Drosophila melanogaster: one gene and its partners. The protein of the gene in region 1 interacts with the protein of each later gene in a pairwise test. Each region holds a gene or a part of one and is shown in the gene's direction. Other genes may lie near its edges.

The links.
Region 2: the proteins of vir-1 (region 1) and Septin4 interact in a two-hybrid assay, tested with the Drosophila melanogaster proteins (one large-scale study listed by BioGRID).
Region 3: the proteins of vir-1 (region 1) and Fst interact in a two-hybrid assay, tested with the Drosophila melanogaster proteins (one large-scale study listed by BioGRID).

Annotation. Positions count from the first base shown.
Region 1 is NT_033779.5:12,417,412-12,428,474, reverse strand, and holds the start of vir-1 (virus-induced RNA 1), read left to right. Parts: upstream 1-5,035; 5' UTR 5,036-5,152; intron 5,153-6,612; exon of another isoform or gene 6,613-6,645; 5' UTR 6,646-6,770; coding exon 6,771-6,834; intron 6,835-11,063. Other genes in the region: Trm1 (tRNA methyltransferase 1), read right to left, coding at 1-332, 392-418; CG5446 (uncharacterized protein), read left to right, coding at 908-1,006, 1,088-1,249; Fam92, read right to left, coding at 2,139-2,414, 2,466-2,936, 2,992-3,132, 3,187-3,346, 3,398-3,537.
Region 2 is NC_004354.4:16,689,354-16,700,416, reverse strand, and holds the start of Septin4 (septin 4), read left to right. Parts: upstream 1-5,243; 5' UTR 5,244-5,299; exon of another isoform or gene 5,300-5,803; intron 5,804-5,997; exon of another isoform or gene 5,998-6,045; 5' UTR 6,046-6,214; coding exon 6,215-6,374; intron 6,375-11,063. Other genes in the region: CG9676 (uncharacterized protein), read left to right, coding at 279-505, 561-1,089.
Region 3 is NT_033777.3:9,638,228-9,649,290, reverse strand, and holds Fst (frost), read left to right. Parts: upstream 1-3,136; 5' UTR 3,137-3,163; coding exon 3,164-4,024; 3' UTR 4,025-4,313; downstream 4,314-11,063. Other genes in the region: Dh44 (diuretic hormone 44), read right to left, coding at 1-308, 2,150-2,272, 5,593-5,799.

The DNA of each region.
Region 1 (11,063 bases):
TCCTGCGCGTAACGGATGCTACGCAAACCGGTGGCTGCCAGTGCCTCCAGGATCCGAAGTCCATCCTCATATCGAGTACCGGCCTCATAAACAGGTGGATCCTCGGGAACGGGAGTGGTCTTCTCATCCTCCTGTTCCTTGACCTTCTTCCGCTGCTTTTTGAGCGCCTTTTCGCTCCGCTCCTTGGTCAATCTCTGTCGATAAACATTCAGAGCAGCAATGCTCAGATCTCGATTGAATTCCTGGACAGGATTGTAGAACACATTGCCGCCGGAAACGATCTCCGCATTACGTTCGCGTATCACGTTTTCGTTGGGATTTTCAGCAATAATCTGCAATCGTAATGCTTAGCTTAATGTGGTTTATTTATAATGTGTTTTTCTTTAAGAACCTGCGGCTTTTCCTCGTCCACTTCCATTTGGATGAGTTAAAAGAATACACGTGGGGCAGTGTTGAAAAACGTAAGCTACTAGCTATTAAGCTTTAAAACTAAAAATATACACAAATTTGTTGTTTTTTATATGAAATACGAAATAAACATTACAGAATTATATTTAAGTTTAATTTAGTTTCAAAATTTACAATTTGGGTATATTCTCTGTAATAATACATCCCATAAAATGATGTTGAATAAAAATGGTTCTTAATATTTATTTGAATTATTTAAAGATTAAAATAAATTAAAATAATAAATTGACATTAAATATGACTGGAAAATAAAACTTGAAGCTAGCTACTTTGCCACCACCAGGATTATCGAAAGGACTATCGAACCAAAGTCCGCCCCTATGCTTGATAAAGAAATTAATTTGCAGAAGTGAAACAGCCGCAGCCGCAAACAGAAGCAAAAGAGCTAGAAGTGATAGCATTTTTGTACTTTTATACAGTGCCACAAAGAAGCCACAGAATGACCGATCTGCGCAACGAGATGGACAGCGATCTGGACCAGAACTACTCCCTGAACAGCAATGCGGACCCCAAAAACATGCAGGAGCTGACCATATACGTGAGTAATGCCCGAACCGGGAACCACCCAGTAAATAGAGACACCAAATGAGCACCCAGTAAACCTGCCTCCTGTTATCAGGTACAAAATCTGTTGCAGAACGTTCAGGACAAGTTCCAGACGATGTCGGACCAGATAATAACGCGCATCGATGACATGGGCAACCGCATCGACGATCTGGAGAAGAGCATTGCGGATCTGATGAACCAGGCCGGGATCGAGGGTCAGGGACCGGAGAAATGAGATCCGTAGCGCTGGCACGGCCACGCCCATTCGGAAAGTGCATCCCAATACCATTAGATACATACATCGAACACCTGGCACCCAGTCACCCGTATCAAGTTTACAATTCCAGGTTCTCACATTCATTTAATCTCCTCCGCACCCAGCTGCTCCCCAAGAAATGAAGAAAAGAACACATTTGCTCATCCATTTATTGCTTAGTTTTAAGTTTCGCCCGGTCGGGGCACATCATAATTTAAGTAAAGTAATTCTTTTGTGAGCAATGGCCAATAATTTTGAATTATTGCCGTTTAGTTTCTATTTATAAATTAAAAATTCAAGAATTGTAAATTCCCTGCTATTTGGGTGTTCAGGACTTCGATTTAACAACGGTTACCAGGCGACCAGTTCCCGATTTGTGTTTCCTCACCTGAAAGTTTATTGCGAAAAGGGGAAGAGAAGCGCGTCATTTCCGCTTGATTAGTTATGATATGCATATATTTAGTATTGTTTATCTGGGACAAATAATGCAAATCGTGACCCGTGTCCATTAATAAAAAGTGTATGGAAATCAGCGCTGAATGGCAAGGAGTGCTATATAACAATCCCTACTTTTAAAAGGAAAATCAACATTGATTTGTGGACCAGAATGATTTTCGAATATTAATTGCAATTTGTGTTGCTTCTACATATCATGTTTTTTAAGGCAATGAGATAGAGAGTGGTAATACATTCTGATTAAATTATGAAAGGAAGCTCTGAGACTGCGGGGTTACAAAAACCAATTAAGATAAACCCTTAGAAGTATGTTCCTAATTCAATTTTATTTAAGCTCTTGCTACGATTCCAGAATGTGCCTGCAATACTGATGTGAGCTCTAGGAACTCTACTACTGGTCATAATTTGAGTGCTAGTGCTGGGGCACGTGGAACTGCTTCTGCAGCCTTACATGGGTGGAGGCCACCGCCTTGAATGGATGTTTGACCGTTTGTCTGCTGGGCTTCGAAGGAGCAGAAGTGGCACTGGCACTGGTCGATGGCGTGGCTATATCCTTGCTGGCAGATCGGATCTTGGCCCCAAAAACATTCTCCCGCGGAGGAACCTGGTTGCCCGGCTGCGTGGGTTCCCTCTCGTCATCCGTTGCCGTTCCAGATTCCTCGTCCTCTTCGCCACTTTGCTCGGTTTCCTTGGGAGGAATGGAGTTATTCTATCATTCCATAATCATGCCAAATCATACCTCATCTTCATCATCTTCCTCTTCATCCTGCTCGTCGGTTTCATCTTCGGGTTCTGTTTTACTTCCATGATTGATTCCGGCTCCCGTCAGATTCCTATTGCTCCTGGACAACTTCGGGCGCCTCTTGAGCGGACTGACCAGGTGCTCGTGCTCCAAGCTATCCATCGACTGGGAGCGCAGTCCCTTTTTGAGTGCAGTTTTCCTGGAAGCCAGCTCTTCTTTGGTCTTCATGAGTTTCTGAAACTCAATGAAATCGTCGCGCTCATCAATGGTTCCAATATCATAGTAGCTTGCGCTGAGTATCTCCAATGCCTTGGTGTGCTGTTTCATGGCGATCAGTATAAAATCGCTGATTATCTGCTTTAAGTCGCGCAACTTCCGCTGCTCGAAGTTGCCAATAATGTCGTCTATCTCCTTGTTTGTGCGCTGCACCTCCATTTTGGCCTTAAACAGCTCCGAATCGGCGGCACTCTACGGTAAGTTTTGGGAATTATATAAGAAGTAAATTGTTCGTTTTAATACCCACATTGTTCGCAGAAAACTTTGACTTGAGCTCAAGCATCTGGCGCTGACGTAGTACCTCCTTATCCCGCGCTATGACAGCCAGTCGAAGATTGTCCCTTGTGGACTTGCAAAGCTGCTCGAATTGCGCCAACTCGTTGACAATCTACATAAGTCAATAATATGATATAAGATGCAGATTTAAAAAAGGATAATTCACCTTGTGTTCCAATCGGTGTACATTGATGTCCATGTAATCACCCATTATGGTAACCGCGTTGGTGAAGCTCTTCAGTCCCTGACAGAGACTCTCGTTGATTTCCTCGTCGTCGGCGTAGCTCTTCACACTCTTGGCCAACTCATCAAAGGAGTCCCGATATCTGCAAGGTCTTATGATTATTCATTCAGATTTATTTATTTACCAAACTCACTTGGCCATTTTCCGCGTTACCAAAGCAAACGAAGAGCACATCTCCATTAGATGCCTTTCTGTTATGTTTATGCGCTCGTTTATTATTTTAACACGGTCATCTTTGGTGTTTAGAAAGGATAGTTTTCCACGACGAAACATTATTATTTTATTTTAGTCCCTTATATTTGTTTTCCTTCTTTATTTATTTTATTTCGACAATAAAATCAAGTGAAAACCGTTACCAAGGCAACGTCTAAATTCATCTGGCAACTCTCGTTCGAACAGCCAGCATATTTCCAGCTCTGTAAAATTAACAGAAATGTTAAGAACCTACTGCTGCCAGGTGGCGCTAGTATCAGCGTCTTCTGCAAGTACATAGATGGCGCAAGAATAAAGTTTATCAAGGAAATTTAAAACATTCTAAAAATATTCAATCCTAAAATAAATATCTGAATATGGGTACTTCATTTTTTTCCAACAGTGTCAAGGTCAAGAGCACGTTTCGTTATAATCTGTGAGTGTTTCTGTCTGTCATCCGGTGTCTAAATTTAAATTCGAAAGATTTATGACTAATTAAGAGACTGCAAATGATAAAGAAAAATATATATAATTAGTATATATAAAAAAATAGAAAATATACTACGATATTTACCTGAAGATCATAGCATTGTAAATAGTTTATTTAAAAACAAGTCAATCTGATATTTTAAAATATCGTTGGTCCTAAAAGCCAAGCTTTACTCACTTAAATATATGTAGGACTAAGCTGACTCAAATTCTTCTCACTTCGAAGCCTTGACAACCAAATCTTGTTTTTTGGGGAATTTATTGACTCGACCGCAAGAATGTTGTGTCAACGATTAACCGAAAATGGTAATTTATTTTAAATGCTCCTCTGCCACTTAAAGGCATAGTGCAATCAAACCTGTATTTAGTAAAACGAAAATAGCAGTTCGAATAAAACCAACGAAAGTGTAGTTAAAACAGAATCCGGTTCGTGGGACCACGACAAGAATTACAAGTTGTAGAGCATGAAGAGCAGCCTGCAGGAGATTTTAACAGCTGTAGCTGCGCCGATCGCGATTTCAATCTGGTCGAAAACCATAAAGCAACACGGCTCCCAAGAGGCAAGTTCAGGTAAAAGGGGGCAGGTGGACTTCATTGTCAATCCAAGAACGTAGCTTGGCGCGCGTTCCTTGTCGCTAACTATATCCCCGCCTCTTTCTCGGCGCTGTCGGCCATCCGCTTTGAATTTCTGATTTTTATACATACACCTCGAACTCCAACGGTTTTGGTCAAGGGACTGCACTGGAGGACATTCGCGTTCCGCTGGCGACATTCATTTTTGCTCCCACTGACGTGTCAATGAATATTCTTTTTGTAAAATTTCTGCTACTTTTTGGGTAAACAGGATGGGGCATCTTTGGTAGTGGATCTGTTGTAAAAATATAAAATTGAAAGTTCTTTAGTTATTTTTCTTTTTTTTTTTTAATTAAAACATTGTTGAATGCACATTTGGAGCACTCGGAAGACCCTTCTTCGCTCTCGTATTCTTCTCTGCGCATTCCTCCCTTTCCCGGTCTCTCTTCTCAATTCTTTGTTTTTTTTTGAGTGCCAACGACGTGAGCTGGTATAAATGAAGCCAAAATCGTACGCAACCGTTTAGTCCGAAACGTTTCATTAAAGCCAACGCACGTTGAAGATCGCGCGTTCTTCTCCGATCTTTCGAAATCGAGTGATTCAAGCGATCCACAGAAATAACTGTATGACACCGGTAACAATAATAAAATTTATGCAAATTCGCGGTTGTCGGCATGTGTATGTGAATGAAATTGTGTGCGTGAACAATTTCCGCTTCGGCGCTGACAAAAATGTTTACAAACAAACAATTTGCAGCTTGTTTAGGCTGTCTGGGCAATAATTTGGATGCCTAATTTACTTCACGCAGCTGTTTGCGAAATATTTACTTGTGCTCACTTTTATGCTGAGCCCAACATAAACAATAGCTTTCTAAAACTATCAGACATTAAAAATGCTATTTAAAGTTTATAGTTGCTAATTTTGAAGACCTTGAAAAATTTACTGTCGGGCAAGATATTTAAATAATTTTCTGATGTGCAAAAATTCCAGTTCATTTTGAGATTATAATACATTCTAGATTTAAATCAGTGTATAATTATACAAATTCTTTACGGCTTTTTATATTTATCAGAACTGTAATTGGGTGTTATATCGTAAGTTCTCTCGGGTCAAAAAGATCATTCATAATCGGATTAACTAAAGATTTCCAATAAATTGCCGATCTTTGGCATATTCGTTAGTAAAATCGTGATTAAACCCGGCTCAATCAAGGCGTGACTACTTTATCGATGGAATTAAAAAGAAGCACTCTATCATAACCATTTAATTACTGAGAATAGTCTTTAGCTCCGTTTTCATTTCCTTGGAAGAAAATTCTCAATAGCTGCCCATTAGGGAAATAAGCAAATGATGCTTTTGTTTACAGAAACAACAACCTTGAACTAAACACCAAGCGCATTTAACAGGTGATTCGAGCAGCCGTTGAATAGACATAGTTCCATACAATGCAATCGAAGTGGAATTGAAATACGAATGGGGCGACTGAAACATTCAGCAACTGTGACAGGGACACATTTAAAGTCTGAAATACAAATATAGTGGAATAGAGAAGCCCGCGTGCAGCTAACGAAGCATAGACAAAAACTGATTAAGTAAATTGAAAACACAACTAAATTTACAAAAGGTTCAATGAGCAACGGCGACTTTCAAACACCCTTTTAATCGAAATTTTAAAATATTAGTAGCAAATGCCCTTTTAGAACTGCTTTTATATATATATAATTATAAAGATAAAGTTATATTATATTATATTTTTTATAGTAGTAGATACAATAGTTAATGAACCAGTAAGCTATAACGGAAACAAAAAGGTGTAACGAAAATAAAAGTTAACTTAAATGTGCCTAAGAACATTACTAATACGCTGCATTCTGTACACAGTGGAGTCCCCAAATATTGTACCCAGTTGACGGGCACAGTGTAGCGCTCTTCCCACAACACTTGCCGCCTGCCATTTGGAATATTTATAAGCCCAGCGGCTAATTGAGTGAGAGGGAGAGCAAGAGAGCGGTCAGCTAGTCACTCACTCGGTTTCTCACTCGCTCACTCACTCAGCCGGCCGCCGTTTATTTGCCGCTTCCTCAAATCATTTAAGCGCATTTGACGATTGTTTGTCTTTCCGCACAGAACAAAACTGAACAGAATCGAATCCGGTTGCCGGTCCACATCAACGCATCAAAGCTTTCAGCCCTAAATAAACTATACAAATTAAACAAATTATAAGCTTGTGAAAAAAAAAAAACCAAACAAAAATGAAGCTCTTGTTCGGTTTGCTGATGACCGTGCTAGCCCTTAGCGGCGTTTTCACATTGCCAGGTAAGTGAAAGGCTTAAAAGCAATCCAATCATGATGCACTTCATAAATTAACATTTAAATGATTAATACTTGAAAACTAAATGTTAACTTGCCCTAAGTAATACGTATAACGGAACTAACTAATATGCAATTTGTACACATATGCAACATACATATTTGTTTTCCTTCTCTTTACTTTCTCATTTTTATGTGCACATAATTAGTTATTAAAAAACACAGTCAACCTTTTGACTTTAAAAACAAAGAAAATTGATAAGCACCGGGAATTCTGATTTGCACTCTTCTACGTAGTACGTTCCTCTTATACCTTCTTGATCTGGAATATTCTGGTAGAATCTTAAAGATTACCTCGATGTAATTGTGACTTGGAGCAATATAAATAAATTATTATGCATATAATACGTAATTATTAGTAAATACAATCTGTTGGATATGAAAAAATGTTTTAATTCCACTCTGCAGCAGATTAAAGTTTAAAGTCGCTGCCTTTGCCGGATAATGATGTCAGCATGCTGATAACAAAGCGTGGCACTTGACAATCAGCCAAATGCATCTTACAGATACAACACAAGTAACTACAAATGGCAAAATATCAGGAATGCTCGGCGCAGCATCGCAGATCCAGCGTCCTTTATTGTCATCATCAGCGTTTGCTGTTCGCTGCCTTTGGCTGCCACTTGAATGCATAAATTGCTGAAGAAGCTGCCAGCGAATCGCAGATACCCCCACAGATGGGCGGAATGGTGGGAGTGGGCGTGGCAGCGGGTTGGCAGCTGCCACAGCCACTTGAAGTTGTCAAATTCGTTGCTGTCCAAATCATTTGCCAGGAATATACAAATTTTATGCAACACTCGTGAATCACAATTTTTCGGCAAATCTTGCTTGAGAATCATCTTAGCAATGAGTGCTTGAAATTGCAATGAAATATTTCGTAAATTGATGAGACAATGTTTTTTATTACATATTTCAAAATACACATAGTAGCTACTCTAACTACTGTGCATATAAGTCAGATTAGTACTGTTTAAACATTTGTTTTCTCTATTTAATTATTAATGATTTGCGATCTGAACATGCTGAGAATAGAATCATATCCAATTAAAATAATTTACGTAACCAATTAAATCACGATAATTGTGGATATACTGGATTTATCTGCAGGCTAATCTATTCTGGATTATATATTTCAAATTTAAATTAATATTGTTACATTCTTCAACAAACTCGGAATCGGTTGAATGAACTGTCATATTATACACTCAAGTCATCCCAATTTCTCTGGCTGATTGCAAGTGAAATTCTTGAGCACTTTTCTTCGCTTGTTTTGTTTTCTTATTTTTCTTAATTTGGTTTTTTATGAGATCGCTTCATGTCAGTGTCCCATGGCCAAAAGAATTGGGTTAATTGTGGCCATAATTCGCTTTTAAGAACTTTTTCCAGGGAATGTCTTTCTCTGCCCCAGAACAAATTGCAATTGCATGTTCACATAAATCACTTTTTTTTTTCCTTTTTCGAATTTCTGCTGCTCGTACGTGGAACTATGTGTGGAGTAATAAAACTCAAAACAATTATGAAAATTATTGGTGAATTATTACATGTATTTTTCATTGTTGGCATTTGCCGCTGAATAGACGGGCAATTTGTTTAATTTAGACGGATATTTTGTTATGCAAATTGAAGTTAATTTTCGAGCCCATACAAATGTTTTGGTTAAATTGTATGATATATAGTGAGATAATTAACATTTTGTGTCTGGCCTAAATCAGTTGCAATTGTTATGAAGTGGAAATACTCACAGTTTTTTTATGGGGCAATAAGCTGGTTATGAAAAATTGGTGGTCATTTAATTGAAGATTAATTCAAGTCTTATTTCTGAATATGTAAGAACACTATCTAATTGACAATTCAATTAAAACTAAACTAAACGTTGATAACACAGATACATTTAAAGTTTTATCTGTTCTTCCTAGAAATCTAAGCCGACTGCTTAATTTGCGAATTTAACAGCCAAGTCAGAAAATGCATATTAAATTAAAGCATTGAAAACAAAGCCAATTGAATGAACAAATCATTTAAGTAGAAAACACTTTTGCGAACTAAATAAAATGCGTACATTTTGGGGTTTTAATTTAAAGTGACTTAACCTATTGCCTTGGAATTTTGGACTTTTGCGGTAAAAGAAAACAAATAAATTGAACTTTGTTCATATGAATTGTAAATTGAATTGAAAACAACAACGCCGACTGGCTACATATAAATTAAAATAAAATGTTTCCTCATTTTTTTGTTTTGTTTTTGGAATTTGAGCTGGCAAATGTAATTCGTTTATTGTGCCAAGGAGTTTTATTATTGGCCTTGTCACTTTGGCTTTACATTAATTCGTAGAAAATGAAATCAACAGCTTGGCACTTTTTGTTGGGTTTTTAGGTTTTACCGCAACGTCTATTGGCTTGTGTTAAATTAAACAATTAAATTAAATTCAAAGGAAGTGATAACTTTAGTTGGCTCTATATGAATTTCAAAAGATGCTGCAATTTTAAGAGGCAGTGAAACTTGTTATTTTTTTTAGCGCAACAAGTGTTTAGTTTGCAGTCCAATGATTAATCACTTTCAATTGAAACCCATACAATTTTAGACGAAAACTTTATCGTTGTATCGTGATTGCTATTTTTAATGGGTGAAAAAGTACACGAGAATGTGTTTGTTTTCCTGGCTTTGGTAATTGTAAGCCAGCTGAACGAAATGAAATTCGCGTTCGAAAATGAGGCGAATATTTACAAAGTTTAAAGCGGCTTATGAATAATACTTTATATTCCAAACTAGCCAGGTAGCGTACATTAAAAATGCATTATATTCATTTGAATCTGCGCATTTCTCATCTCAACAAGTGTATAGAAACTAGAAGCTTACGGCAAACATGAGTCATCATTGGGCAGTTGTAAAAACAAACGAATAGTTTAATTAAGCATTTTTTTGTTGCTGCTTTGTAAGTATTTGCCTAATCAACAATGAAATGCCAACAACACGACCGTGAGACAATAGATCAGCCGACTGGCCAGAGACTCTGGACTCTCAATGGATCGCCGGCTAAATTGCAATTGTCAGATGTCACGAAGGGATTAAGTGCAGCCCCCCCCCCCCTACCCCTTTCGTCCGCGTCCCTGTCCAATTAGACGGTGACTCGAACTCTCGTCGTCTGTGATTGAGAACTACTGCAACGGCAGACTAGAAACCATCAGAATCAGCCACTTTGGCTCTGGTTCAATGTCACGTAATCGCCGCAGGGCCTCCCTGGAGGGTTATAACCCCCCCCCCCACTAACCCACTCTGCCACGCCCCCAGGCCCCTTTCACCTCGCAGTTTGCCGCCTCTTTATGTTAATTTATGTGCTGGCAAAATGTGCAAGCGCCTCTAATGCTCAGCCACGCATGGCGCAAACCCGAAATCAGAAATAAATTACAGAAGGCAGTCGCCGGAGAAGCAGAGGCAGTTGCTCATAGTCAGCACAAACTGGGGGGAATTAACACGGAGCAATCGCACCAAGAAGGTTATGCGGAGCGGAGTGTCAGTAATCTTGAAATCAATTCAAAATCTAATTAGCTGCATTCGGTTTTATCAATAAAAGATCTTAAGATCACTTATCACGCTTGAAGGTATAAGTTTTCCTAATTATAAAGGAGATCCTGAAATCTACGAATTCACGAGTTAGGAGCAATCGCACCAAGAAGGTTATGCGGAGCGGAGTGTCAGTAATCTTGAAATCAATTCAAAATCTAATTAGCTGCATTCGGTTTTATCAATAAAAGATCTTAAGATCACTTATCACGCTTGAAGGTATAAGTTTTCCTAATTATAAAGGAGATCCTGAAATCTACGAATTCACGAGTTAGGCCCGAGTGTAAACATCGTGATGTACAGGAATAATTGTATATTATAATGAAATCCCGCACATTACTCAAATACTCGGCAGGCAGTTGCAATGTCAACGCAATGCAGCTTTAAACGATTTGCGAAAGGGGATTTGCGGATGGTGAATTAGGATTGCATGCATATAGCAAGGCCAGGGGGGGGGGGGTGGGTGCTGTGGATTGGCAGTGGGAACGGGATCGGATTCACAGACCCGTCAGCAGCTGCTACCATATGTGTGTCCTTTTGGCATGGCTGTGAATTTAATGAGATTCCTGTCAAATTAATTTCCGGTTATGATTAGATTTTCGTTAATAGCAATT
Region 2 (11,063 bases), on another chromosome or scaffold:
TTAACCCTTTTCGTCCAACTTTGACCTCCAAACTCTTACCACCGTGCGTTGCACACCCCTTGTAATTAGAGGGGCTTCATTTGCGAACGAAATGGGGTAACTAAACTAAATTAGGCAGCAGCTCGATAGCGACATTGACTTTGACATTTTAAGGAACTAATGATGATGAGCGTCTTAGATTTGGGTAGTATATATGCATACATATACATATATATATATATACATCCAGTGAAACTTGCAGTGAGCACTGCTTTTCAGTTAGCTAAGCCCAACCAGTCATGTTACCATTCTGGACATCTCTACTCGTCCTTTGCGCAGCCGGAGTCCTGGCACAAAACGATTCCGTAGTGGAGCCCCGCATTGTGGGCGGCACCAAGGCGAGGGAGGGTCAGTTTCCTCACCAGATCTCACTACGTCGACGTGGAAGCCACACTTGTGGTGGCTCCATAATCTCCAAGGACTACGTTGTCACCGCCGCCCATTGCGTTAAGCAAGGCAACAATGTGTAGGTATTGAATCTTCGGGATTTCGCGTTTCTCAATCAGAGTGCTTGCCCTTAGAGCTCCAGCTAATGAGCTGGAGATTCAGGCGGGCAGCCTGCTCCTTTCCAGCGGAGGAGTTCGCGTTCCAGTGGCCACCGTCACCGTGCATCCCAATTACAACTCCAATGGCCACGATGTCGCCGTGCTGCGACTTCGCAACTCGCTGACCTTTAACTCCAACATAGCCGCCATCAAGCTGGCCACCGAAGATCCGCCCAACGATGCCACCGTGGACATCTCCGGCTGGGGCGCCATCTCCCAGCGCGGACCGATCTCCAACTCCCTGCTCTACGTGCAGGTGAAGGCCCTATCCCGGGAATCTTGCCAGAAGACGTACTTACGCCAGCTGCCGGAAACCACGATGTGCCTGCTGCATCCCAAGGATAAGGGTGCCTGCTACGGGGATTCCGGTGGTCCGGCCACCTACCAGGGCAAACTGGTCGGCTTGGCCAGTTTCGTCATCGGTGGCTGCGGACGAGCTGCGCCCGATGGCTACGAAAGGGTCTCCAAACTGAGGAATTGGATCGCCGAGAAGGCCAGTTTGTAAAAACAAAAAAAAAACGAGGTCCGGAAATCACGCAAAGATATCACGGAAAATTCCCATGGAAAAACGGTTTTCTATTTAACTTATATATATTATTTCACATTATTTTTAGCAACATAGCAGATTACTATGTTGTAAAACGCACTTCAATAATAAATATAAAATATTATCAGCACAGCAAAGGAATTTCAAAGTCTATTCTATAAAATAACAACCCTTTTTCCTTTTATATGCCAATAAAAGAATTAAATATTAGTTTAAGATTCAACTTCAAAGTTACTGACCCCAATTGTAAATATCTATATTATGATATTATGCTTTTGTATCATTTTTGTGCGATTTAAATCCATATGGTAGGTAGTTGATCTAATGAGGTATGTAGTTGATCCCCCTTTTTTTTTGGGGTCATCTCTACATGACTCATTTGCGAGCCAGCGGATTGTGACCGCTTTTTAGAACCCACTTGGTGGATTGGTGACTTGGTGGCTTCCCATTTTGGCCGCTTGGCAATTTATCAGAGCGCAACTTTTCCCCGCTTTTTCCCGCTTTTCCCCGCTTTTCCCCGCATTTCCCCGCCGGCCAGTGAAAGTGAAAATGAAAATCAGCTCCGAAACTCACCCAACTCTTTCTATTATTGCTCGGTAATTTTCCGCTTTTTTTCGGTTTTCGGTTTTCAGTTTTCAGCTTTGCTGACTTCTTTTTTTTTCCATGCACTCGGCGTTTAATGACTTTGTTTTGCTTTTCATTTAACTGGTCTCGCACTTTTTATTTACTTTTCCACAGTTTCCACAGCCTCAGTTTTCCACCGCCTCTTTGTTTTCCTTCGCTCTCTTTTCGGGGCGCAATTATCGGATCGCTGGGGATCGTGGCGTGCCTCCATGGGTTTCGGTATCCCAATGTAATACCCCACGTAAACCTGGCACGATTTGTTCAGTTTGTCCAACCGGCTGGCTGTCAATCTGCCGCACCATCAATCAGTCCATCAATCTGTCAGTCAATGCAATTCACGGACAAAGTCATCGAACCTTTTGAAGTTGAAGAACTCCATGATCTACGATCTTGGCGGTGATTCGGGGGATTGGCTCATTTGTGGTTATAACAATTGCATTTAAATAATAAACTGCATTTGCATTTAAAGCATTGCATTTCTTCGAAATATTATTGTATTTTCAGGGGCTGACTTTTTGGAGAGCTATTGCAATATATCTGCTTAAGATATGATCGCTAATGTAATATATCACATAATAACTTCGTTTTTTTTTTTTTTTTGTTTACTAAACGTAACTTTTATTCGCTAAGTTAAAAAGTATCTGCCCACCAAAGTATTTGTCCAATGCCCAATTGGCATTTATGCCCAGATTTGTCTCAGTGTGGTTCAAACCTGATAAGAAATCGCCGAGTTTATCATCTCCCCACCGCCGGAGTGGCTCAATTTCACCAGCTCCACTTTGGTGCCAGTTCCAAGAAGCCATCCACTTCGCATTGCCCACTTGCACTGGCCAGTTCGAAATCCACTGGAGACGCGAGAGAAACATTCAAAAGTCGAGACATGTCGTGGCGGCAAACAAATTTCTTCTTATTTTGGGCTTCAATTTTGATTAGCATGGAAAGTCAGTGTAAGTGGCTTTTAATGGTCAGAGCGATGGCAAAGCCGATCGGCGGGTTAATGGTAACGGGTTTGCCCGAATCCGGGCGTGGAGAAACACTCATGACTCTTTGCAGTCCGAAGACAGAAAACTAAAGACAGCAGACAGAAGAAGACAGCAGGCAGAAGAAGGCAGCAGACAGAAGACGGGGGATTCAAGAGTTGCGAGTGGAGAGCAGGTTGGAGGGGGGAAAGGAGCGGGAGCGGTCTTAGCAGTGGAGCAGGCCAGTTAACCCACTAACCTTGTTAGCTTAAAAGTGGGCAGCCACTGGTTAAAGGCGCTCACCACCACTGTCAAGTTCAATGCTAAAAGCCTGCCGAAAAGGGGCAGCACACACCTACGGCCAAGCAAATAGTGACAGTCCAATTTAAATTGCAGATATAAAGAAGAACAATTTAAATGTTATGAAATATATACATTTGTTACATTATTATACTATTCAATGAATTCTAATACTGTTGAGCTAAGTATTACAGTTTGAAATTATTATTTCAAAAAAATCTTGCTTCGAGGACTAACCGCTTTGCTAAATTTAGAATATAAATGTAAAATCCTTATCACTTTGCGTGCATATAGAATTTCAGCGATTATCAGTGATGCATTTTAATGACTAGTGTATGATGAATTGAGAACATTGTGAGAGTATGCCTGGATATGTACATACATATGTATGTTGTACCACATGCCCCATCATCATGCCCCCTGCTGTGCGGAAAAAGTAGGCGGGGAGGCCAGTGGGCGTGGCGGGGCCTGAGGTCATGCGATGGCCTTCGAAGGAGGCGACATGCGCAGTGGGTTAGTGAGCCATTTGGCTGCTGGATTGCGGGGCTGTGGAGTGGGAGGTGTTTATATAACAACAATGCTAGTGCAGGCCCGCCGACATTCGCCTGCAATGTGACCTTCACCTTGGCAGTGGCCGCAAGGCCGCGCCTGCACCACCCACCCAATTTCCACACCACCAGACCAGCCCATGTCCGCCCAATCCAGCCCATTCTGGTAAGGCCCCCTGGCCTTGATCTTAAACTTTCCCACGAGAAACAGACAGGTATTCGGTATTCACCTGATTTCTTGCTGCTGCCTTTGGATTTCCAGTTTTCTGCTCGACAGCAATTTCTATTATTATTCTTGCAGCTGCCGTTGATGTTGTTGTTGTTGTTGTTGTTCTCGTTGTTCTTCGCACCTTTTTTTCTGCAATGGGAAATTTGCATAAAATATTCAATCAACTTTCATTGTTCCAGGCGGCTGCCATTGCCGGGCTTCAATTTCGAGCACATAAAAAAAATGCAAACAAACAGAAAGCAAAACAAAGTTCTCCCTCTTTTTTTGGGTAGTTTCTCTTTGAGCCTACGCGATTAAACAAATTAGCACTGAAAACTTGTTGAAACAAATATGCCGCGAGCTTGACAAATTGACAAAGGAAGATTTACGCGTTTCAATGGATTCTTCTTTTCATCTCATCGAGCTTACACTTTCCCAAAAAACCAGAATGAAATCGCAGAGAGAGCGAGTTTTCGAAAACGCGTCCGATTGCCAGCGCCGTTTAAGTTCGACTGAGTTTGTGGCGCGTTGTTCGTGTGCTACGGAGGCCAGAAATCAGAAATCCAGCCGCCAATGCTGCGACCTCCAATCGGGCTGAAAAAGGGTTTTAGTCACGAAAGTTTTTCTTGAAACAATTAATCATTTATATCACTGATTAAAATTATTTTTTTTGTAATTTTTTCCTTAGTTTTTGAATTTTTAAAAGCAATTTTCTTGAAAAGCCTTTTAACCTTTTGGTTTTCAAGACATTCTGCTTTTGCCAGCCTGCACATTTTGAGCACCCGCTGCAATTTTACAGCTGCCAGCTTGTGTCAGTGTGCACAATTGGAGAGACTAAGTTTGCGTATTCAGTATTTTTTAGGTATATTGTAAACTACTTTTACAATATTGTTTAGAAACAAACTCTCTCATTTTCCTAGTTTCTATTCGGTCTACAATACAATTTCTTTAAAAAACAACATTAATACAATTACGATATCTGACCGGAACGGTGGAATATCGAACATGGGGCAGTTTTTTATTTATATATTCTTTTGTTATTTATAGGTGAATTCTAAACAATATAAATGCAAAAAATGTTAAAAAAAAAAAGATCTAACTATCTATGTTCGACCTAAGTTTAGAGAAAAATCGACTCCCCACTCTTTGGGGTATATCTCCACTCGTAGGACATTTCTTTAAGGACATTTCAGGAAAAATGTAGTTGCCATAAAAAATGTTTACCTAGTTTTTGAGATAATGGCACTCATATCATTATTATTATGGACTCATATTAAATACCATTCTTATTTTTAACAAATTTTATTCTTGTTCAAATGTACTTTTAGAGGCTCAAGTTTGAATAAAGTTGTTGAAGTGAAATGGCGCAAAGTAAGACCCTTTCATCCAGCAGTATTATTTGTTCGGTATTTTTGCTGGTATTTTCGGTTCGAATGTTTTTGGAAATGGAAAAGCAGAGCAGAGCTAAATTGCAATCAGATCTCGACGCGACGGCGGTGAAGAAGCATCAGTAAAAGCGCGCGGAAAGTGTATGTTTCAAAACTCCGCTCAGAAAACCATATTTGTTATTGTAAATAATATTCCCTTAGAAGTTTGGAATATTTCCCGCGACAATTTTTTTTTCGGTGAAATTTCATACCGTTTTGCCACAAAAAAAAAAGAGGAAACCAAAACAACGGAAATAGTTAATAACAAAGTGCGTGAGCCTTTTTTTTATTATTATTTTTCGTGTGTGTAAGAGCGGTGATTTGGCGCTGTGTGTGTGTGTGTGAGTGTATTGTGCATCTCACTGTTACTTGTGGTCGTGTAGGTCAAGGTGAAGCAGCTGCACCGTTAGTTTTCCACCCATTGACTATGCAGTTTTCAATCGCAAATGCATTTGATATTATGCATATGTGTGTGCAGAAACCCTAAAAAGTCAATATTGCAGTTAGTAGCTCTCTTTCGCACTGCCCACCCTGCCTGCCTCCCAACCACCCTCCCTCCCGCTCGCACCTCATCGAGTGAGATAAGCACTAGATAAGCATGTGTACGTAAGTTACTGTTAAGCTTAACCCTTAGTGAACAACAAACTTGCACGCAAATGAAATGTGAGGTTTAAAAATATATAGAACACAATTAAACAAAAATATGAAACAGTAATTAAAGTGTGGGAGTTAATCCCCCCAAAAATCGCAACTATAACCGATTAATATGCGCTAATAAAACTAAATATATATATTTTCAGTACTTACCTATGTTATAAATTAGTTGCCCATTTTATATTAACTTTTAGTGTCAATTTAATGTGGCAGCACTAGCAGCTGGCAACGTGCAGCAGTAACAACAAAAACATAAAACAACACCGGATTGTGCAACCTGCAACTTGCAACACAAGCGGCAAAACGGCGTTTCTACCGCAGCGTCGCCTCTTCGGCGGCGGCAATGTGCCCCCCTCGGCGACCATGAAGCATCAGCCGCCGCCCCCGCCACTCCCGCTCAGCCAACCGCCCACGATGGGCGCTACAGCGGCGGGGGGCGTGGCCAGCGTCATAAGCACGATGAACGGCAGCAGCAGCAGTGGCATTGAGGCGGTTAAATGCCGACCACCCATTTACCCCAAACGTAAGTAAAAGCCTCTTTCCATGCTGCACACAAATTTGTAAAAAAAAAAAAAAAAAAAAAAATCAGAAAAGAAGCAGACGAAAACATCAAGGGGTTGATGAAGCAGTTTACAAAGGGGTTCACCGTTGTATTGTATTGTATTGGTATTGGCACTACTTACTTCTAATGCGTAAAACGCATTCCCAGAAAACTCTGGTATTCTCATAATTTGACTGAAAAAAGACAATACTGAACACAGTAAAATTCCTGGAAATATGAACGTAATGAAATGATGTAATGTTTGTGAGATTTTCGAAATCATCAATCAACGAAAGATAAAACAGATCACCACCATTTTCGCTCGGTTAAGCTTTTATTTGGAATTATTAATTAATTTCTTAGTAACTCATATCTATGATGCATAGCTAAACGAAGCCTACATCATAACATGGCTCAAGTTATCATACCAAATTGATAACGAGAACGACCTTTAAAGATAAGCGGTTGATTAGCTACAGGCCCAGTTAACCGAATGACATTAGTTTAAAGAATGTTAGGAATATTATAATATTAACATTTAGGCACAACTCCACATCTTGGCTTACAGTGCATTTGGGTTCCCTTTTTTCCACGGGCCAATTGCATTTGGCTGGATCGATCTTATCTGGTATTTGGCATTCGGTATCTGGTAACTGGGATCTGGAATATGGGATCTCGATAGGCTGCCCCATTACGTGGGGCCCACTTCGCTGCTTTTCCGCCGACAAGAAAATTGACTGGCCACCGTAACTACGTATGTATATGTACAAATATATATGTATGTATATATGTACATACTGTATGTATTTTCCGATGGTTTTGGTTTCGGTTTTGGAGGAAAGTCGACGGCGGCGGCTTCCTTTCCTTTTTGCCCACTTCACTTTGTTTTGGCTTCGCTTTCGCCTTGGATTTTTTTCATCAACTTTTTCTTGGCTTTTCGACTGGGGAGTTTGGACTGAGTTGGTTGTTGGTTGCGACTGCCGTATTTGGTAGGCGTAGACTGTGTTTTTATTTTATTATTATTTTTTTTTTTTTTTTTGCCCCATGTTTTCTATTTTGTTCCTACTTCTCAGCTTGTGTAGTGTGGCCGCACCCAAAACCACCCAGCACAATCCCAATTGCAGATCGGTCTGGGCCTTGGGTCTTTGGCTCTTTGGTCTTGGCCATTTGGCTACTTGGCATTGGCCTTAACTTGGTAACTTGGTTACTTCGGTGGGCAACGTGACCGCAGCTAACGGTTCTCCTGGTTGACATGTCGTTAGTGGCCGATGAACATTTGTGTCGCCGATATCGGGCTACGGCCCTCCTAACTTGGCCGAACGACCTATTGGAATCTATGTTTACTATGCTACACCGCAAGAAAACGAGGTCAATTATAAGCTTTTCAATTGTATTTGATGTCTATCTCAATAACTTCTCAATGGTCATATTTTTGATTAAAATTAAAAGAACACAGTAACGTCTTAAAGTAAAAGATTACATTGATCCCAAGATGTTATCATCATACTTATTATTATATTATTAATCACTTATGTTCTAAGACATTTATGACTCAGTAAGATTTGTTAATATCCATTAAATTCAATTGGAATATATTCCCAGCCGGTTCATATGGAGTGTAATATTTTTATATGCATTTATTAATCGATTCACAATTTGGTGAGCAATAGTTTTTCTCACTTCATTCAGCTAGCAATGACTAGCAAACACATGTTTACATACAGACATCTAGAATAAAACGTGATAAGATAAACGCAATATTTATAAATTTTCACTGAGCTCACCTCAACTGGTGTTTTATTTTGTTAGTGGATTATACAGTGTTTACTAGCCAATTATAGCAAGTAAGCCAGTTTGAAAATATTGGCATATTATGGATATATAATGGATACAATCAAATACAGTGTTAAGTCAGTCAACTCTCCCCAAATGGCGTTCAATTAGTTGCATTGGGAAAAATCACGCTCATCGATTGTCTAAGTTTAGTCATCCATTTCCATTTCCATTTGCTATTTCCATGGTGCATTCCTTTCGCATTCCAAGTTTTCCAAGTTGCAGTTCCAATTTTTATTATGGAAGGCTTTCGTTGGTTAGTTCCAATTAAAAATGCCGCAGCCTAGCGTTTAAAAACTCATTAGGAGCCAACTTCATTGTTATGGCAAATGAATACACATCTATGTACATACATACATATCTACCGCAATTGTGGTTGTCGTTCCCTTTGCCCGATGTCAGCGATATGTTCTACTATATGTTTTCTCTCACTCATTGTTCGCATGATGTGGGGGCGTTTATGTGCAGTTGTACAGCAGCGGTCAAGAAAGTAGCAAGTAGTCAAGTAGTAGAATTCAAATGAATGTATAATGGTTTTGGTTTATCTTTTATTTGCACTGAAGTTTTTGATTACTATTCACTTCTCAGCAATACCGACTCTACTTTTCTGACCTCGTCTGTGCGCAGTGCACAGTGGGAGTGGAATTTTCATGGCAATTAGGGAAATCAGTGCATAAAGCTGTCAAATTCCCCATTTACTGAAAAGGGGTTAAGTGTCTGATGTTTTCGGCTATGCATGTATTATTAATAGAATGCGTAAATCTAGACAGGGTGCATTTGGGCCTACATATCAGCAGAGAAGTGTTGGGATGTCAGATCAATTTCAGAGATCAAAGTTTTAGACTGACATCGACTAACAACAATTGCGGTTGAAGTAATAATAACATATACACATATGTAGTTATTTAAAACATCTTGTCTAGTCTGCCTAATCGAATGCAAGTTGTGTAAAGCTAAATTTACAGATTTTGAAAATCTGATCGATTAAACGATCAAAAACAGATGGATGTGTATATGTTGAAATCTGAATTGATAATACTTTTGATTCCCCATTGGTTCTTATTTACCCCTGTAAAGATACGAATTTGTATGGCTATTTTCTGAATTTTGGATCGGGTTTAAAGATAAACAATTTTCTGTGTGTGGAAACCGAAGAAGTTCGAAATCGTAACGAATGGAAAATGCTTCTTTGGATGCGTGAAATTCCCTTGAAGATGCCCTGTGAAAAGTTGTTTTGGGGCAGGGGTAGACAAGGGTGGTGGGGAAATGGATGTGGAATGGGAGGCGGTAAACCTGGCCAGCTACTTCAAATGCCGTCAATTGTTTTCAAAAGTTTTCAGCGTGTCAAGAGCAGAGATGCGGCTATTTATGGAACAGTGCAACACGGCACCAACGAATGCCCTTGGATGTGTGGACAGGCGTACAGTGGAGCCTGGCCAAGACGATCCAGGGAGTTGATAGGGTGGGAAAGAATATGCAAACAGTTTCAGGCGTTACTAATATAAATTAGATGCTCTAAACAGTGATTTTTAAATATCTCAACGAAAGTGTAAGATATTTTCGATTAGGTAAGAAGCTTGGCTATAGATATTGGTCATATTGGAACCACTGCCACTATGGCTCCTGTCCGCTTGCCTTTGTTTGCCCAACCAAATGCCTGTGATTCTGGTCTGTGAAAATGGCTGAAAAGTGAGCGGCAAAGAAACCCAATGCCGATGCACGTTCGATGGCTGCATCGAGCGAGAGTCACTCCAAGCCCCCAAAGACCCAGAAGTCCCCCAGGTCCCCCAAGTCTCCGCCTCCAGATTCCCATTTCTTCGTCTGGGCACTCGTGCGTTTAACGAGCCACTCGAACTCCAGAAAGAGGAGGAACAAGATGCGTAGGGCTCCAAGAAAATATAACAAGATTGCAGGGCACCGAAATCGCCGATACTCTACTATAAATTCCAGTCTAAATGATATTGTAGTGATACAATATAATATATACGTATATATATATATACATATATAAATGTTTATATGTATATACATATAACAATTATTCATAGATCTTTTTTATTGTAACAAGTGTCTTTACCATTTGAGTTGAGAACCCCGCCTAAAAAAGTACTTAATCCTATTTGGCATAGGGTAAAAAAGCGCACTTAAGAACATACAAAAAATGAGCTGCATTTTGCCGCATAACTCGAATTGAACTTAATTGAAATGAAATCGAGACGGGTCGGTGAAGGGGGGGGGGGGTCGAATGAATGAGCGACCGAGATTGAAATTGATGTGTCGCCAAGTGTTAAATGGTCTGTCATAATGCCGATCAAGATCGAGTGTGTCGAGTGGAAAATAGGGAAAATCATTTCCCAGGCCATTTGCCAGCGATTCCGATCAAACGTTGAAATGCTCAAGTGTTTGACACCCAACAACCTATCTAATAATTCCCATGGGCATTGCAACTGCCACTCGGGTTAACAACGGAATGGAAGGGAATTCTGCCAGAGATGCCTCTTTTTATTTATTTATATTTTTTGAGTGTAGTACATTTAGCGACAGACGACCCAGCAATAATGACAGCGACAAGTCTAGTCAATGAACCACATCGCAGTGGGGCTGAACGCGGGGGGAAAGTGGGTGGGGAAAGATGAAAACTGCAACGCCCACAGAAAAGCTCTTTGGGATAAACAAACGACAATAAGCAGCGGCGATTGAGATCGAGATCTTCGGGCACAGTAAGAAATATTGGACAGAGGAGGCAGCTATCAGATTTACGGAATAGAGAGCTCAGATTTTGTCGGAAGACGAGTGTGGGTGGGTCTGGAAAATGGGAAAAAGGAAAATGGGAAATGG
Region 3 (11,063 bases), on another chromosome or scaffold:
GCAAACTGTAACTGTGACGACTCCTTGTACGGCGACAGGGCCCATCCGTAGCTCCACAGTTGGCTGGGGAAATGCTTCCACGGCAGCAGCTGTTGACGGTCCAGCTGCTCCTCACGAACTGCATCCCTTTCCCTTTCCCTCTCCCTCTGCCTTTCCCGCTCCAGTTCCCGCTCCACTGGCCACTGCTGGCGGTAGCGCCTGCTCACCTTGGGAGCCAATCCTCCTGCTCCCGATCCTCCGCCTCCTCCTCCTCCTCGCAGCACGACCCTCTTGCCCACGTTCTTCAGGATGGCGCGATTCAGTTCGACCTGGACACAAGAAAGGTAACACGGTTCACATAAAGTTAAGTAAAGTAAAATGCTGTTAACTGCTGTAAAATGGTTGACAAATTGAAATGGAAGTGGGGTAAGCCCGGTTCTCCCTTATCCCCATGGATTTTCCATGTACTTTTCCCGGCAAAGGGAAAGCTAAACTAGATTGACATGCATGATGGATGACCACATTCAATTTGGATCACAAATCAAATGCCAGTGCGTTATTACATTAATCGAGGATGAGGTATGTGGCACGATTACATTTTAAGCACTTTAAGATACTTTAGGAGCAGCTTTAGTTGCTAAACTGAAAAGCCACCAGATACTTTGCCTAATTACTTTATAGTTACTTTAAGTCTCAGGTGCTTGTATAAAACATACTTTAATATTTAAAGCCAAGATGATTAATCGTTGGAAATGTATTTATACCTTTTCCTATCTTTTAACTTAATACTCGGTTTAGCTTAAATCCAATTTAAGTGTAAATGCCAACTTGCAGTTTTCACACCTTGGAAATTCCATTCTTCTAGTGCTTTGGATATTTATTTAAATTTCTTTCTGTTTGCCAACCACTTTGCAGGTCTTTTAAAGAGTCAGGTGTTTGCATTGAGCTGGGGATTCAATGTCTAACTCGTAAGTTCGGGTGACATTGCATTTTTCCCTTTATATTTTTGGCCATGTGAAAGTCTATTTTCATCTGCTGGGAATAGTGCACAAACCGAAACGTGATCTATTCCTTTAAGCTGTGAATAAGTATGTCGATTCATTTTGTTTGCATTCAAATTCAAGTGGTGAATGCTATTTCAGATATCTAGCTCCATCCTAACTTTTAAATACACGTTTCTAAATGTAACTTTCCTTTAATTGTGTGGTATTAAATTTGACAGCTTGCCGTTGAAAACCTCATTTTGTTTCTTTGAAATTTCACTTTAATTTCACTCCATTTTATTTCCCTTTTATTTGCCAGTCTAACCCAGGTGTTTTCCGAAAACATTATGCCTGCTGAAGCTCATCTTTCTCCGATTCGGATTGCTTTCGGGATGCATGGATTAATTTATGAAACCCCTTTGACAAATCAATAATGTTATCTGGCGTATGTGAATAGGTAGGTGGGCATGCGGATAGGCACATCCATGGATGAACATGACCCTCTTTAACGGAAATTCGTGGGAGGAAAGGTGAAGCTATCAAGGCAAATCGTTTGAATTCCTCGTATTAAAACGTTTGATTTTTTTTGTTTTTAACATTTTCGTTGGCCTTTTTGTCTTTGTGTGTGCGCCTTTGGGGGATCGGAACGTTTTGGTAACCAAATAAACTCGCTTTGTTACCGAGCAAAAATATTTGCGTTACACATACGCCATGTTGGCTTTGTTTTTGGCACTGAGCCGCATGCATATACGTATGTATATTTTTGGGTGTCAGGGCCATCCGATGTGCTTAAGCCTCGATTTCGGGTTCGCCAGGATGTTGTTTACATTCCAGGAGCAAGTAGGTGTGTGGGCTGCACAGAGTCTTACCATTTGGGTCCTTTGGAAATTTATTAGATTCGCTAGCTGCGATGAATTAAAAAACTTTCTGCACCTGCGTTTTATGCGTTTTTATGGCTTTCGAAAAGTATTTCTCATCAGGCATTCTAGTTTTGATTAGCCCGCTACATTTTCATTTATACCTTGCAACGCGACCTACTTTCATTCCCCTTAAGACGCGGCATTGTTCTCCGTTTGTCTGGGCCATACGAAGCCAAAGTTTTGTTTTACCCTCCTTTGCAGCTTATTAAAAATACTTGGCCAAGTGGTCAGCCATCCCCGTTTAATATTGCAGAACACGAGACTGACCTGGCGGGAGTTCTCCTTCATTTGCCTGCGTGCGATTTCCAGGAGCAGACGCTGGCGCAGCACATCCAGCGGATTGACAATGGACAGCGATGGTTTGTTCCTCTTGGCCAGCAGAAAGTCATCCTAGAACGAAATACATACATATTTAGTACGTTAGATTCGCTGTTTGGCTGGAAGAAGTTTCCCAGCGCATGGCATAATAAAATCCTGACGAGGTAATGCAAAAAGTTTTAAGTCCCTGTGTTTATATACAGTTCTGTGCTCGAAGTTTATTCTTTTTTTGTTTTGTTTGTTGATGGAAATTAAAATTATTATTAGCATCGATGGTGAGCAATCTTAAGGGCCTCGGCTATCGCATATTTTTTATATCACCTTTTGTTTTTCCCACAATTCGGGAAATTATCGTTACACAAAATCTTGCAAGCTTATCGGTGTGTTGTTCTACGTTTTTTCCACGATGATCAATTGGGAATTTCGTGATAACAGCTCTTCACTGATAAGTGTGAAAACTTCAAGCTAATTCATGACTCACACGTAGCCACAAAATAAAATTCAAAAACAATTACCTTGGGGGGGCGGTTAAAAAACACCTGATACTATCACTTTACGATCCGCCCAACAACGCATATCGCAATTTCTTTACACCACATGAAAAAGGGGATTTGGATTTTGCTTGATCATAAAGAAATTACCCGAAATTTATACAGAGTCTGGACAGGTGCTTCTTTGGAAAAATTTAAATATTATCTTTTATTTGTTGGTGTTCCTTCCAAGAAGTATTTACGTATCCTAAGTTCAGGGCAAACAGTAAACAACCAATCCGAATTCATGTTCAGATAAATATGATAATTACGATTATTGTTGGTCTGACTATCAGACAGGTTACCTGCGATTAGATAAGAATGTGGCAGTGTGAGGTCGAAATGTCTGGCAGTGAATGGAAGTGGTTATCAGCTTTCTATAAAAGCTATGTCCATCTGCAGAACCCGGTAGTATAATCGAAACAATAGCGAAATGAAGGTCCTAACTCTTATCCTCTTCACTGCCTTGGTGGCAGTGGCTTCTGGCCGCCCCAATGGCGGTTGGTTCGGAAATTTTGGCAGCAACTGGGCCAGGAGGTTCGGTTGGGGCTCCGGTGACGATGAAATCGTGCAGGAACAGAGGTGGAATAGCCAAAATCAGTGGAATCCAAATGGCAACGGTCAGGGTCAGTGGGATGGCGAAAATGGTCAGGGACAATCTCACGGAAACAATCAAGGCCTCGGCCAAGGAAACGGACACGGAAACAACCATCATGGTCATCATGGCAACAGTCATGGTCATGGTAATGGTCAAGGCCACGGTGGACAGCGCCCTCCTCCACCACCACCAACGGATCTGCCTGAGTTGACCACCGAGGATGATGTGGTATCCACCACGGATGTTACCAGTCCCGCGGAGGAGACCACTCTGGCACCCGAGGTTCCAGAAGAATCTACCAGTCAGGCACCAGAGGAAATCACCACCGGCTCTGAAGAAGGCAGCGGTTCCTCGGAGGACACCACCACCCTGGCCCCTGAAGTTCCGGAGGAATCCACCACTCAGGCACCGGAGGAAAGCACCACCGACTCTGAGGATGGTAGCGGTTCTGAGGATACCACTCAGGCTCCGGAAGAAACCACCACCGAGGAGCCTGAAGAATCCACCAGCGAGGCTCCCGAAGAATCCTCCAGCGAGGCGCCCGAAGAATCCACCACAGAGGAGCCCGAAGAATCGACAACCGAGGCGCCTGTAGAATCCACAAGTGAGGCACCCGAAGAATCGACGACCGAGGCTCCCGAAGAATCCACAAGTGAGGCGCCGGAAGAATCCACTATCGATTCTTCAGCGGTCTAGGAAGTTAGTTTCATTGTTACCAAGGTTTCTGGTTCATTTTCTCAATAATCGTTTAAAATTTGGCGTTTCCGAGTAACAAGGTTATTAAACAAAGCGTTATAAAACGAAATATGGTGCAAATATTAAACTGTTATAGCTAAATTATTAACATGTTCTCCCAGAAGAGCGTAAAACCATTTCTAGGGTTAGGATTGAAGCCTCATGAACCCACATCGTGTTATTATGTCACGCACTCGCCATTTAGTTTTATAGCTCCAACAATCTGAACAATTAAAACAACCGAAAAATGAAAAAATCCCAAGTCACGTTTACTTATATGACATTACTCAAAACTTTAAGGTTCTAAACGCATTATAATGCTTATCACTTAATTGAACTTTCGCTTTCCGAACCATGAACATTGGCTTTTTAAGCGTTGCGAGCCGATGATAAACTGATTGATTGACGTACATACATCAATCAATGAATCGCTACTTGACTGATTAGTTGGCCAATCGACCCTTATCGAAACATACATATGTATGTACACATGCCCATTTGTTCGAAAGAACATATGTTTGTGCCCAACGATGTGTCATTTATGGTGGTACAAATGGAAAATTTCGTAATTGGCCTTTAACGTCGCCTCGGGGTTGTATTTTTAATTCTGCCCCCATCATAAAACATCATTTCATTTCTTTCAGTAAATAAAATTAAATTGTTTACGTGTCCTTCGCATTTACGTGCTTAAATCTCCAATTTGGCAAACGAACTTGCCTCGCACTCCAATTCCAGCGAATAAAGAATACAGAATAAAGAATCAACTTAACAAAATTCGAACTTCTTAAAAAGCAGTGGTAAAACTTTTGATTGTGGACAACAGGAGTTGGCCAAGACAAACAGCATGTTTGGTTTTCTTTTTTTCTTCCTTGACGTAAATTTCCATTTGTTTTTTAAAACATAAAAAACCCATAGACTCAAATCAATTTTGTTGCCATGTTCGTGTGCGTTTGGGAATTTATACGATCTTTTTGTTCGACCGAAGAAGTTTTACATTGAGGTATTCGAATTGGTCAAGTGCCTAGATTAGATTGTGGCCAAAATTCAGATCGAGGTACCAATAATGTGGTATTGATTTCGAGGAAATCGGAGAATGAAGATTTGCCACTACTATAAAATGCCTAATGTACTTCCCATGTATGGATAACTCTTGATAAGAGCTTAATCTTTTAGCAATTTAATATATCCGCGCTAAATAAACTGCGTATGAGATATTTTTCAATCTATTTGGTTTTAAAGGGTTGTGCGGAACCCTTTGCGGTCACATTTTCTGGCTTCTTGTAAAAGTTAACGCATTGTGGCGAACAATGTGTCAATTTATGAACCGAGTGAATGGAACCAATGAAGGTTGTCAAAGGAGCGATGAAATCGCCCGTTTGCGAACTGCCGAGCCAATAATTGAATATGCATTCGGAAAACATTCAAACAAGTGACGCAAAAACTGCTGTCACTCACTCACAAAGGGAGACAGCCAGAAAGAAATGCACACCAATGGCCAGGACTATGCCCATGCCCATGCCCATGCCCACCTGTGAGTTCCGTGTTCCATCCGGGTAGTCCAGAGGATATCCGTTTGTGCGGCCGCTTCCGCCGACCTCCGCTCCACCCGCTGCCGCTCCCGATCCTCCTGCAGCTCCTCCTGCTCCAACTGCTCCTCTTTGGGCCGTGCAGACGAGCCTTGTGGCACACAGTAAAGTTAATAACACCGGACAAAACCACGCTGTGGCTTTCATCATTCTGCAAAAAAGGAGGAGAAAAAAAAACGCACAGTTGCATGGGTCAGTGCACAATTCATAGATATGCATGTAACGCCAACAGTTTCAGCATAAAAAAATAAATAAAAATCTATCAAAATGAATGAAGAACGTGAGTATTAGTGTATATATCATATCAACCAACTCTGCTAAAACTATGCATATTTATTTACAGTACTATAGGTTATAGGGTATGCAAAGTACCATACGCTATGCAAATTTGATCTGTTCATTTGCGTGGAAAATTAAGCTCATCTGTGGCTATTATTTTTTGAATATTTTCCGAGCCACTGTCTTGTGCAAACTTTGACCTCCGCCGTTTTCCCACTGGAATAGAGTGAAAATAAAATGCTGACAGCTAACCTGTGAAAAATGCGAAATATTCTGACAACAAGAAGTGCTCTCATATTTTATGGGTCACGTAAATATGTGGTACTTCTGAATGTGGCAGTGTAGTTCTTTATGTACTTCCGAGTATGCACCTATATATTTACATATGTATGTATATCAATCCCATGTCCCTCTGGACTCTTCAATCAGTTGGCAACTGGAGTCGGGGGCAATTTGCACGAGGTGCACAGAGGAAATTAGGTTCTAAATTGAAGACGGCGACGAGTAAACGGCAGCACAACTAGATTATTTTCCTGTTGCACAGCTAAAGTTACCAGGGGAAAAGTTATTTCCAAAAAGAGGAAAAGGTGCTTAACTTGGAAAGAAAAAGTTCAAAGATACTTTAGGCACATAACAGCCCATGAAGATACTCTACTAGAGTATCATGTATCTATTAGATTGTTTCATTTTCTTAGCCGCAGACAAATAGGTGATTTTTCAAAGTCTAAAGTAATCCCTGGAAGAGCATTCACCAATTAATTCAACATAAACGAACGTTTTTTTTACTTTTGATCTATAAACAAACCCGTGTAAATGCATAATTAAATGAAAACCCTTTGGCGCTTTCAGGAGTTTTTTTTTTTTTTGTCCTCCTTTCAGTTTCTCCCATATTTATTTAACATATTTTTCTTTCCCCTGGTTTTCCATCATAATCCTTTCATGAGGTCACTTTTAATTGCGTAGAACAACTGAAAGTTTCACTTTGGTTTTCCCACACCGACGCAATGTAAAGCAACCATTGTTCTCAAAATGAAAGTTCCCTAATCCAAGTAACTTTGTGTAGCTAACAAAATTAAGTAACAATTGCCACAACAAGGAAAACTTCTTGCAATTTAGTGTGTGCGTACGTAAAAGTTTGAACTGCCATAACTCAAATTTCTGCATTACACAAAATTAGGTTTAACATTCCTAAATAATTTATAATCCCAAGAGCGATGGCAGCTCTAAAGTTAAACACAAATTGGCAATTTTTAAAAAGAAACCAATTTCATTACAAACTCTGTGCAAGTGAAATTTACACATGAGTTTTCGGCAACTCATCAGCAACTCAAAGTTGCACTATGAAAACCTCCCCATTTTGGGAATTAAGTCGGCTCCTTTGTTTTCGGTGAGGGGGAACGGGACATACAGCTCATATAGCACCTGTCATCGGGAGCATTAGACATCGCAGATAACTAAGTGCTCGAATGGCAGCCGCATTAGTCCATGCCGGCAATCACATGTCATATGGATGCCATTCGGCGAACGGGGATTTACGAATCCGCATCTGAATCCGGTGGAAATCCGTGGGTGTGTGGGTTGCTGGCACTTTCGGCAAACGACAATTGATGGCTATTGATTTCCCCTAATAGATCGCCTAAATGCTGGAGAGAGATGTGATGAATCTATTCCTGGTAACAACCATCGAAGTTGCAACGGAAATTGCAATCCAATTGAAATAGGGATCCCGAGGGGAGTGAGTAGTATTCCCCAGCCGATATAATGAATGAATTTTCTTACATTCTTACTTTTGAAGTTGAACAAATATTGATTTTGTGAAAGTAATATGGAATTCAAGGCAATAAAACTGCCCTGCCCCACTGAGGATTGTGCTCCTGACAGCCATTGTCATACATTTACTGGGCGACTCTGGGACTCGGAGACGGAAATCGTGATTGCCCAGGGCTACTTGCCAGGACGTCCCTTCTTGTTTTATCGGCAATTCAAAGGGCGGACCGCGGCACAAGGAAATGAAATCCCTGCTATCTATGCCACCAACTCGAGATATTTACATGCGTATGCAAATACGAGTATGTGAAAAGTTTTCCAGCTCTGGCCGCTTTAAAGGCCGTAAATCCCATTTGATTAGGCCGTAAAAAAATCAGCACAAAAGGCCAATCATTTGGGAATCTGCAGCTCAGGGGTGGAGCAAAGAAAATTACCAGGTGTGATTGCCGACCTTTCGCTAAGCTTGTTTGCAGTCTATTAGGTTTCGTCGGTGTGTTGTTACCTGAAACCGAACACAAAATGCAAAACTAATTAGCCTAAACGTTCTTCGGGCCATCAATCAAGCTTGCCGCCACCTTTTGGGCCATTCAATTTGCGCCACATTTCCGTTGAGGTTTTCGCCCGAAATCTGATATGTTTTCGCCAAAAAGCCAAACACTAAACACCAAACTCAAAAACATAGAAACAGCACTCTTTCCCAAAATTATCACATAAAAGAAGAAATCACCTTATCAGTGGTAATTGCCTCTAATTTCGCTGGATCTGCGGAACTCGGATGCACACTCGACGGATTGATTTATGACGATCGAGATACTGGATATTTCGCGTGGGTTTTCGAATTGTCTTATTTTGGGAAAGAGCCCCCCTACTTTTATGGCTTGTTTATCTTTTTTCTAATTTATTTTATGTATTCACGCGTCGCGTCGCGAAACGTTAACTGATTCGGAATCTTGAACTGTTGCTGTAGCTTGTGGCTTTGGTTCCTCTGATGGATTTTCACCCAGCATCGAAATCGAGGGTCGAACGCAACAGGCTGACGACGAGCGGAGGACTCACGGAGTATAGCGATTACGGCGTGTTTTTATATTGGGCGCCACGAGGCGCCCACACGAAGTGCCGGATCCGAAATCCGAGCACGAAGTCCGAGGCGTCAGGACGACAGGACGACGGATGTGGGAGCCCGAAGAACTCGGAAGGCAAAGGAAGGTGCTGAAGCCACGCGACGAGTTATGAATGAAAACGTGCGGGTACGGCATGTTGCCAGGATGATGGAAATCGCTCCGGAATCAGATGAGGCGGGTCAGACCGCGTCGTTTCGGTCTGCAATCCTCACTAATAAATCACCAGGGTGTGCGAACGCATTAGGAAATTGACGGATTGTTGCCAGTGGGTGACCCGAAGCCCCTTGGTTTCGAAGTGGTGATGGTGACCTCCCACAAATCAGGTGCTTCAGCAACATGTTGCGCGAAGCCGCAACCCCGTCAACTCTGTAATTATCGAACTCAATTAATATTTAATGAGTTTTATTTGCACATTAATTGTTCGATTTAAAAGTGACGAGGATGCGGACTCCGGAGCACTCGATGTCATGTCAAGAGGTGCTAACGTGGCCCGACATTCCGCTAGGACGGCAATCGGGCGTTAAATTGCTCGCCATAAATCCGTCAAACGTTAGCCACAGGGATCCCTGGCCAGGAGATGGATTCCACGCAGGAGGTGCTCTGCCTGCTGGGTGTTTCGTCTTATTTTGGACCAATCAATTTTTATTGGGATATGCGAAGGCTAACAGAGGCCGATATCCTTTCTATTTAGGCTAAGAAAAGCAGCAATCATTACTGCTGATTACCTTGAAAACGAATTCAATTACCATTTATATCACATTGCTATCCACATTGTACACACAGCCAGATAAGCAATTTATAATTTGGGACCCCCCAAACTTTTCATGCCATCTACATCAACTAGTTTGGCTAGCCCACGCATCACTCAAAAAAAGCAACAGTGTTGCCAGCATTCGCAATTGTCCTGCGTCCTTGGGCGCGTTGATCACCCACTTTGACATACTTTTTAATTGCTTGGAACACGTGTCTTCGCCTTTTATGTATGCAGAATGTGCATGCGTCGGCTTGTAATTAAGCACGTAGGCAAACGCCTCCATTTCCTGCCCAGCAGGATGCTTTATGGCTGATTGAATTCCGTCAAAATGCCACTCCCGCCAATTTATACGTGCTTTTATGCGAGCTGTAATGCTGTTTTGGTAGTGCGAGGCAATTTTAATTTACTTTTAATTTTTAATAGAGCAACTAGTAAAGTCTAGCTACTTGCCTGATTACTTTTGCTTAGGGATTCAAGAAGGAAAGGATATCCATAAGGGTGTAAGATGCAACCTTGTACTTGGTTCTGTACACCCATTAATGAATATGCTTATTAAGTTCAATCCCCACTCCAGTGCCCACTCGGAGCCAGAAATTTCTTTTGTCCAATTTGCGTAACAAGTCAATGACTCAAGAACTCGTCTCTGGACACCCCTTTTTCTAATAGCCCATCAAGGATTTGACAGGCGACTAAACGGTAAACGGGCATTTAATGAGGAGCAGAAAAGGCAGCCGCCTCATTTCATCCAATTATCCTTGTTATGGGCAGCCGATGGTCCCATCCAATTATGCGCGATTTGACGATTGTGTGAGTGTCAGGGAACTTGGTTTCGGTCAAGTTTAATCATTAATAATTAGGAATGTCTTTATTGATTATTAAAGAGGGACATCACGCCGCCTTCAAAACATTCAATTAACAGTGTTATCAAGTTTTTCGACCGCAATATTTGGCTTCCAGTTGGTTATCTTTGAAACGCGACTAAGTGAGCGGATTATTCTTTGAAGCACATCAATTAAATCAAGTTACGGACCATTTAGGCAAAGCGAACAAAAATCAAACAGCAGCAGAAGTTAGCCAAAAAGTTTGACCAATATACATTTCGGCTAATCCCAGAAAAGTTTTTCCAACTTGTTTCATCTTTGAGCCGCTTTCGACTTACTGAATTTACTGCAAACGAAACACACTTATGTAATTTCTAGTAATTTGCTAGACTTCTTGACATTTGCGACGCTCTTCAGCAAATAAAATTAACGAAAGGTAAGCAAGTAATATTAATTTGCTTGACCTAATAAAGCCTTAGGCCAATCGTATAAGCCATTATTTTGATAGTAACATATTTTTGTATTTCAGTATTGATTGTTTCATGGTTTTGGTAATTACGAAAACCGCTTTCCTATGTTATACATGATTTTATTAAAATATCAAAACTTTCCCTTGTTCAACCCATTTTCCACTATCTGAACCGCTTTATTGCGAATTTCTCCCAGTTCAAT